Linked DNA regions of Oryzias latipes. The protein of the gene in region 2 interacts with the protein of the main gene of each other region in a pairwise test. Links are inferred from orthologs where the notes say so. Each region holds a gene or a part of one and is shown on either strand. Other genes may lie near its edges. The genes, in order: nphp1 and bcar1.

Evidence for each region.
Region 1: the proteins of bcar1 (region 2) and nphp1 interact in a two-hybrid assay, tested with the Homo sapiens proteins (2 studies listed by BioGRID). The link is inferred for Oryzias latipes from reciprocal best matches to the Homo sapiens genes BCAR1 and NPHP1.

Annotation. Positions count from the first base shown.
Region 1 is NC_019873.2:15,304,878-15,307,570, forward strand, and holds part of nphp1 (nephrocystin-1), read right to left. Parts: intron 2,598-2,693; coding exon 2,461-2,597; intron 2,304-2,460; coding exon 2,261-2,303; intron 2,161-2,260; coding exon 2,073-2,160; intron 1,622-2,072; coding exon 1,527-1,621; intron 1,445-1,526; coding exon 1,316-1,444; intron 1,238-1,315; coding exon 1,163-1,237; intron 1,092-1,162; coding exon 981-1,091; intron 880-980; coding exon 797-879; intron 697-796; coding exon 620-696; intron 533-619; coding exon 437-532; intron 1-436. UniProt on the Homo sapiens protein: Together with BCAR1 it may play a role in the control of epithelial cell polarity. Involved in the organization of apical junctions in kidney cells together with NPHP4 and RPGRIP1L/NPHP8. Does not seem to be strictly required for ciliogenesis.
Region 2 is NC_019864.2:4,911,740-4,916,294, reverse strand, and holds the start of bcar1 (breast cancer anti-estrogen resistance protein 1), read right to left. Parts: upstream 3,011-4,555; 5' UTR 2,898-3,010; coding exon 2,883-2,897; intron 1-2,882. UniProt on the Homo sapiens protein: Docking protein which plays a central coordinating role for tyrosine kinase-based signaling related to cell adhesion. Implicated in induction of cell migration and cell branching. Involved in the BCAR3-mediated inhibition of TGFB signaling.

The DNA.
Region 1 (2,693 bases), on a different chromosome or scaffold from region 2:
TTGCAGACCCCTGGTTTAGATTATATCAACAAGACAACTATATGAAGGAAAAGAAAAGCAGGAAAGTGGAAGAGAACATCTGGGAATGGTAGAAAAATGTTGAAATTAGCGTGTTTGAAAAAAAGTGCAAACTAACGTAGACGATGTTTTTACTATCCTGTTAAAAAAGCCAAAATCTGAGTTGTATTTTGTTGAAAAATAACACATTTCTGCTATGTTGTAGAGTTAGACCAATATAGTTGCACCTAGCTTAGCATGATACAGTAAAAACCCAAAATCGCCTTCCTCTGATCACTGCAATTATTTGGACTCATGTGAGTCAGTAATGTGTGCGGCTACACCTAATAGGAATTTGTTGATCCAGCATCAGTTCCCATGATCTACTGCATGCATTGAGGCTTTGCCGTAGGCTTTTGACATTGGTCCTCCCACCATAGTTGCGTTCTGGTTCGACGATTGGTCGATTTCATCTTTACAACCAGTTTGGGCAGCCGCCTGGCATTGAGCATCTGTTGGAAAACACTGCCAGGGGCTTAGGAGGAGAGAAGGTGTACAGTTTGCACTCATCAGCACAGTTTTTCTGGCGTCATGACAACATTAGACTTTCTGATGCTCTTACATCCTCTTGAGACTGAAGTCTCCAATGTGACATCTTTGTCGTACGGAGTGCCACCATTCACTGGCAGCTCGTACGTCCTAAACACATGAAACGACATTATATGGTGTTTGTGACAAATGACTCATAGCATACGGTTATCATTTAGCTGGTATGTGTTGAAGAGTTTTGTGTTTCTACTTGTTAGAGAGTGGATTTCCAGTCTCGTCGAATAGTTTCAGGAAGGCCCAACCACAACTCAATTCTCCTTTCTCCCCTGTTGACTAAAAGCAGAGCAACATCAGACAAATATGGCTCCACAAAGTCTAATTTCCCAGTCCTGTGGCAAAAAAAATTCTCTTTTTTATTTTGCATTAACTCTTACATTTCGAATAAAAGTGACTCCAAGCTCAAAGAGGATTCCTAGATTAGGAGACACAGAGTTGCAGCGCAAGAAACAGTCTCCGTCCATTAGGACGGGCAGCAAGCCGGTCATCTGCAAAAAAATCAACAAATAAGTACTAATACTCTTTTTAGATGATGGGACATAAAACTGGTTAGACATACCTTTGGAGAAAAGCTCCATGTCTTGGGGTTCTTGGGGTTGTATGCTGCTCTGACTGTGTGGATGTTACTCAAAACCTAAAACACAAGGAGTTTAATAAGGAACATGAATTTCCACTTCTCTGCCACTGAGGCAGGACTTACTTAAAACTCTACCTGTGATCCATCGAAGGCACAGACACGGACGTGTCTGCTGAGGACCTGAACTCCGACCCCAGGAGTGGGAATCAACCTGCAACTCCACAAAGTGAAGCAAACACTGGTCTTGACCTGGCGAGCATGTACCTAGGTCAAATGAAAGCACTATTATGAGCCCCCACATCTCCACATAAACAGAGGAGAAAAAAATGGAGATGGTCACGCTCACCCTGCCGGTGTCTGGGTTCAGGAGGAGGTCTTTAAAGGAGAGCTGAGATTGGCTGAGCTCAGGTTTAATGTAGCGACTTGCCCTGTACGTTTCACCTGCGACATTACGCACATATCAAGAGCTTTGTTACTTAATCAGTTTATACACAGAAGATTCAACTGCAGCGGTGAGGAAGACTGCGGTTATCAACTGAAATGCCTTCACTCTGACTATCTTTCTGGCACACACACATCGTAAGAAATAACTGGAAGTGAATCCAAACACACAGGGAGACTGGTGAACACTTTCTATTTTATAAAATGTACATTAAGGTGAATTTTTAGAGAACTTTTCATTTCATGAAACATCGTCTACAATCGGGCAAAAACACATTAGGACAAACTGGTCACTAGTCTTGTCCGGTCCAGTTTTCTACACCAGAAAGTCGGATATCTGTGGTATTTAAAAAACAAAAAGACGGAAATAGTAGCTATTGTCAGAGTACCGTGATCTGCCCTGGTACTAAGCTCTTACTGCGTTCAAATAGTGCTGTTAGCAAAAGATTACCTTCCTCCTCCAGCAGTTTACCGAGAGTGGATGGTCTGAATCCCGGTGGAATAGCTCCCATGGCTGACAGCACATCAGTTGCATCAACCTGAAGCATGAGAAATTTCAACTTTAATTTTTAACTTTATTTTTTTAAAGCCGCGCCTGTTAGCTCTAAAAGAGGAAAACTAAATTTTTGTAGAGTTTACCTCTTTCAGAGCCTTTCTGACCGTCGACCAGTTGGAGACACTGCTGTCAAAGCAATTGAAGGACAAGCACAGATATTTGTTAGTTTGCTTTTTGACTGATTAAGTAAATGATGAAAACTATAAGAACGTTCTGTTCTTGACGGATACTCTGATTTATATCACAAAAGTTTTCTGAGATGTTCATCAAAGTTCAACTGAACCTGTTTTTGTCCTGTTCACCATTGAAGTCTTTGCCAACTTCTGCTTCTACCTCCTCATCTTCAGCTTCATCTTCTTCTTCGCTGTCTTCTTCATCGCCATTGTCTTCCTCATTGTCATCATCAACACCACAGCCAAACTAAAAGACAATGTTCACCTCCACAGTCTTTAATTTTTGTTTGCATTTCAGTTTATTCTTCTTCTCGGTGAAGAGCAAATATTTATTTAAATATCT
Region 2 (4,555 bases):
ACTGGACAAACCCAGTTGGATGAGTTGGTGGTTGATACATTTCATACATTGAAATCAAATTCTCTTTGAAAAAGCATAAAGTCTTTTGGGGTTTTTTTTTGTCCTATGAATACCTCTTTTTAAAGAAAAAGAAGATTGAACATTGCATTTAATTCACCAGCATTTCTATAGAGATCATCATCAGTGAGTATAAATGGGAGAATGAGACTGTAAAGCGCTTTGGGCCTTAAAGCAAGGTAGTAAACAGTGAAACATGATGGTGGCAGTATCATGCTTTAGGTTATTTTTTCAGCATCAGGGACATGTACAGAGGTATCTTGAGAGAAAACCTCTTCCAGAGTGATCAGGACCTCAGACAGAAGGTTCACCGTCCAATAAAACAATGACCCACAGCGCTCCACTAAGATAACAAAGGAGTGACTTCAGAACAAATCTGTGACTGTTCTAGACTGGTCCAGCCAGATCCCTGATCTATACCCAATTGAACATGTATGGAGAGACCTAAAAATGGCTGAACACCAACATTCACCATGTAATATGCAAGAAAGAAAGGCAGAGGATCCCCAAATCCAGGTGTGATAAACTTGTTGCATAATTTCCAAGAAGACTCATGGCTGTAGCAGCTAAAACGGAAGCTTCTACTCAATACTTAGACCATGTGACTTTTCAGTTTTTCTTTCTTGTTAATAGGCAGGAATTTCTACCTCTCTGATTTTTTCTATCAAGATAGTTCACTCAGTTTGGAGCCCCTAAAGTAATATAGAAGAAAAAAGATAGAACTGGAGAAATTCTGGTGAGCACCAGAAAGTAGGTCATGGACCAAAAAAACTCGTGTGCAGTACACTAGTTGATCAAAGCAAGTGAATCTCCAAAGCTGAAACAAACCCCATGACTTTAGAACTGGCTTTAGGCGATAACACAAAGGTGACGCCAGACAAGAAAAGCTGCAAGGTAACATAAAACTCAATAACTCATGTAATGATGACAGGGTGTGTCTTTATTGTGTAAATTCTGGGCTCCTTGTTCTGAACTGTGACGTCGTTCGTGGAAATTCTGAGGTCCTTGAACTCCTCACGGATGTCACTGCAGAACAGACAACAGGTGGGCACCTGGCATCAATCGGTTTTAATGAGAGACCAGGACGAGAAAGGAGGATAGAGAGGAGACCAGGACAGGGTTACCCGCCTCCCGGATCCATACTGCACCAGGAGAGGAGTGCGCGCAGTCTGAACCGGGAGAGGATGAAGAGGGGAATGACCCGTCCCCCGGAGAGAATGCGACACAGCGTCTGCTGTAATAAAGTCCTGGCAGGTTGGGCGGAACCAAGAGTGAGCCTCATTGCAGGACAACAACTGAGGATGCAGGGGGCGCCGCTGGATGACAACCGTCGTGGACAATGGCGACTGAATTGACTTAATTTCGTTGGAACCAGAAGCAAGGCATTTTTTTATGGGTGATGTCACACTCCCTCAGTCCAGTTCTCTATTATAGTCAATGGTCTAAAGGCGGAAAAGTCCTCACAGCACACTTTCTACACTGTTCTCAGACATGAACATTTTCATTCTTGTTTAAACTCTTAAAGTTCAAACCTTCCCAGAAAAATAAGTTAAGGACTATAAAATGAAAACAAAGATCTGATTACAATCATAGATTTATCCTCACAGTCAAACTGCATGTATAGAGAGACGGTACAGAGGAGATTGATTGATATGGACAACAGCCAATCAGAATGCAGTCAATGCCCTGCATAAAGACAAAGAAGGAAAAACTGCACTGAAAAAAATGTGAAAACGAAACGAAAAGTGAAGCGCAATATAGCGAGGGGACATGACAACTAACTCTGAAAAGTGGTCCTGTGCACAAATGACCACTTACTTTCTTCTGAGCAACAGATACTTTTTCATGCGCCTGAGAAACCAGTACTCTTTGCTTTCACTTGGATGTCCCTTCACGGGCTCCGTAAGTCAGCGCACATGACTGAGAATTGAAATGAACTTTCCTAATTTTGGCAAAAGGCTACAATGATGCAAAGAGTGAAAAATGTAACACTGTGACCACTGAATACTTTCCGTAGCCACTGTATGTTGAGCCAGTCCACCACTGAATCCCTCACAGGGAACGAACGCTTTAATGGAAAGTGAACATGAGTTTGGAATGACAGCAGCGAAGAAAATGGAACGCCAAACTGGCCGCATCCCATCGTATCTTCCTGTCAAACCTCTGCTGGCCAGGACCAGATTTTCTGTTTGGGAAAATCCCAGAACTATAGAAAGAAAGCAACATCCTTCTTCAAATGTCACAAATAGTGTCAATAAATCAATAAAGGTATAAATATCATATCTACCTTTGACAAATCAGTGTCCGATCTGCTCCAATTTACGTCACAGCAGAAATGAACAGGCACTTTTTTTACCTTCTTGTTTAAATTTACTTTAAGAGGTACATTTTTTTTGCCAACTCTATTTATTTTTCATTGGAGATGAAAGCAAATGTGCAAAACAATGTTTTTAGTGGCTTTAGACCAGTAGACCACAGGACTGAAAAACACATCCACAAAGTGTAAACTAACAGAGTGTTCTCATTTCCTAAATGTTTAAGACAATCCTAATTTTTGTGAAGACTACAGTTTCTGAAGACCCTGATAAAGCCTGATTGGTTTCTTGTTTCAACCTTAAAACGTACACATTATGTCTCCCTTATGTTGGCGTGATTACTGGAAACACGACCATAACCTTCACATAACGTTGCTTTCACAGAGATGTAGAGCAGCCCACTGATCAAACTAAAGAACCGCTTGGCGATGGAATGCAGAAGCACTGGAAAAGACGTCGCTGGAACTCTGTTGGGTGGAAAAACCCTCGAGTTCCAGCAGAACTTCTTACCTGATCGCACTGCATGCCAAAGAAATGTTAGCAGACCCCTGCAGCTAACATGATCAGTTGTTTCAGCGCAGAGAATACTGACGAACCAAATTATGCCCGACGTTTGTTGCGGCTTCTAGGTTGTTCAGAAGCAAAAGCCCTCTGTATCTGGCTTCATCGTTTCTTCCCCCACTGCTCCTGCCTGTCTTGACATGTCAGTTCTTAAGAAACAGTATCGTGCGCACATTTAATATGCAGACAGAAACCTCTACCCACGGCATTTACCTGGAGCTGCAATGGTCATTCTCTTCGCCTGAACAGAAATCAGTTCAGCATTTTTGCACCAACACCATTTCATGTTAAATGAAAAACTCTGTACAGCGTTTTCAACTCAGACTGTCACAAACTGAGAACGAAAAGACTTCAGTAGAAAAAGCATCATGTAGTTTATGAAGAAAGTGAGGGAAAATGTTTGTAAAAGAAAAAAAGCATCTGGGTTTTCCCTGAAGGATTAGCTTACTTGAAGTCTTCATGTTCGTTCTTTTCTTCTTTATGTTTATCAGCTGCTAAATATTCATGTCTCATGGAATTGTTAGGAAAGCCCATACATTTTCCAGGTGAACCTACATGTGTTGGACCTGAAGCAGGTGTGTTGCAACGCTACGCCGCACCAAACACTTCAAAATCAGGGTTTTATTTGCAGCGCCAGCTATTTAGTTATGTTTTGGCAAGGGATGATTCCTGCAGAAAAATTCCTGCTGTAGGCCGTGACTAACAGGAGTAACAACAGCAGGGATTATGTAGCCTGGAGCATAGGGCAGACTGCTGTGGGAGGGGCCTGGTGTTGCTCAACCTGCTTTGGTAAAAACTCACAAATAGCTGCCTGAGGGATGAAAAAATACAGTGGATGACTGGTTCAAAGCACCTCGCCCTTCTGCACAGCAGGGAGAATCAAACCATCAGAAGCACACAAAGCTGGTTTTCAGTCCAATAAAAACTGGATTAGCTATCCTGCCTTCAGCCTGCTGCTCCTGCTCTGTTTGCCCTTCGTGTAGCTGCTTTAAAGCCCCTAGTGGTGGTTTCTGTGCGAGAAAAGGTTCCTATTTACAGGACAAGTTTTAAGGTTTGAAGGATCAAAACAAAGAGAAATGATTATGTGGCGTTCATGAGATGCTCCACAGAGCAGGCAGTGTTTATGAGCTTTCCTAACCTACACTTACAAAGGCAGCAGAGGCCTGAGCTTAAGCCTGCTCACACACTTCTTTGACGGGCGTGGATGAGTGTGTGGTGCGGAGCTGCTATACTGTCAGCTCTAAGCACACCCATGATCCACAAAGATGTCTTCTTCACCCTGTAATCCATCCCTGAACAAAGCAGAAGTTACCCGCAGTTCTTCGGTGATGCTCTGTGTCCTCAGCAGAGCTGTGAAAACAAAGCCCCCCCCCGGACCACTCTCAGTAATCCAAGGAAGCTGCAGCTGAGCCGTCACTGTGACTCATGGGTTGTTGTTTGTGAGTTCACTGTACTGAGACCATAGGCAATCATAGGCACACACGAGCTCTACCTGAGGAGGAGGAGGAGGAGCATGTGGGATAACAAAAAGAGAGTTCATTTTAGCCTCATTTGGCTTCAAGTGTGAACGCTCCTCTGAGCTCTGGTCTAGACCAAACAAGCAAATCTTGGTCCAGGATCTG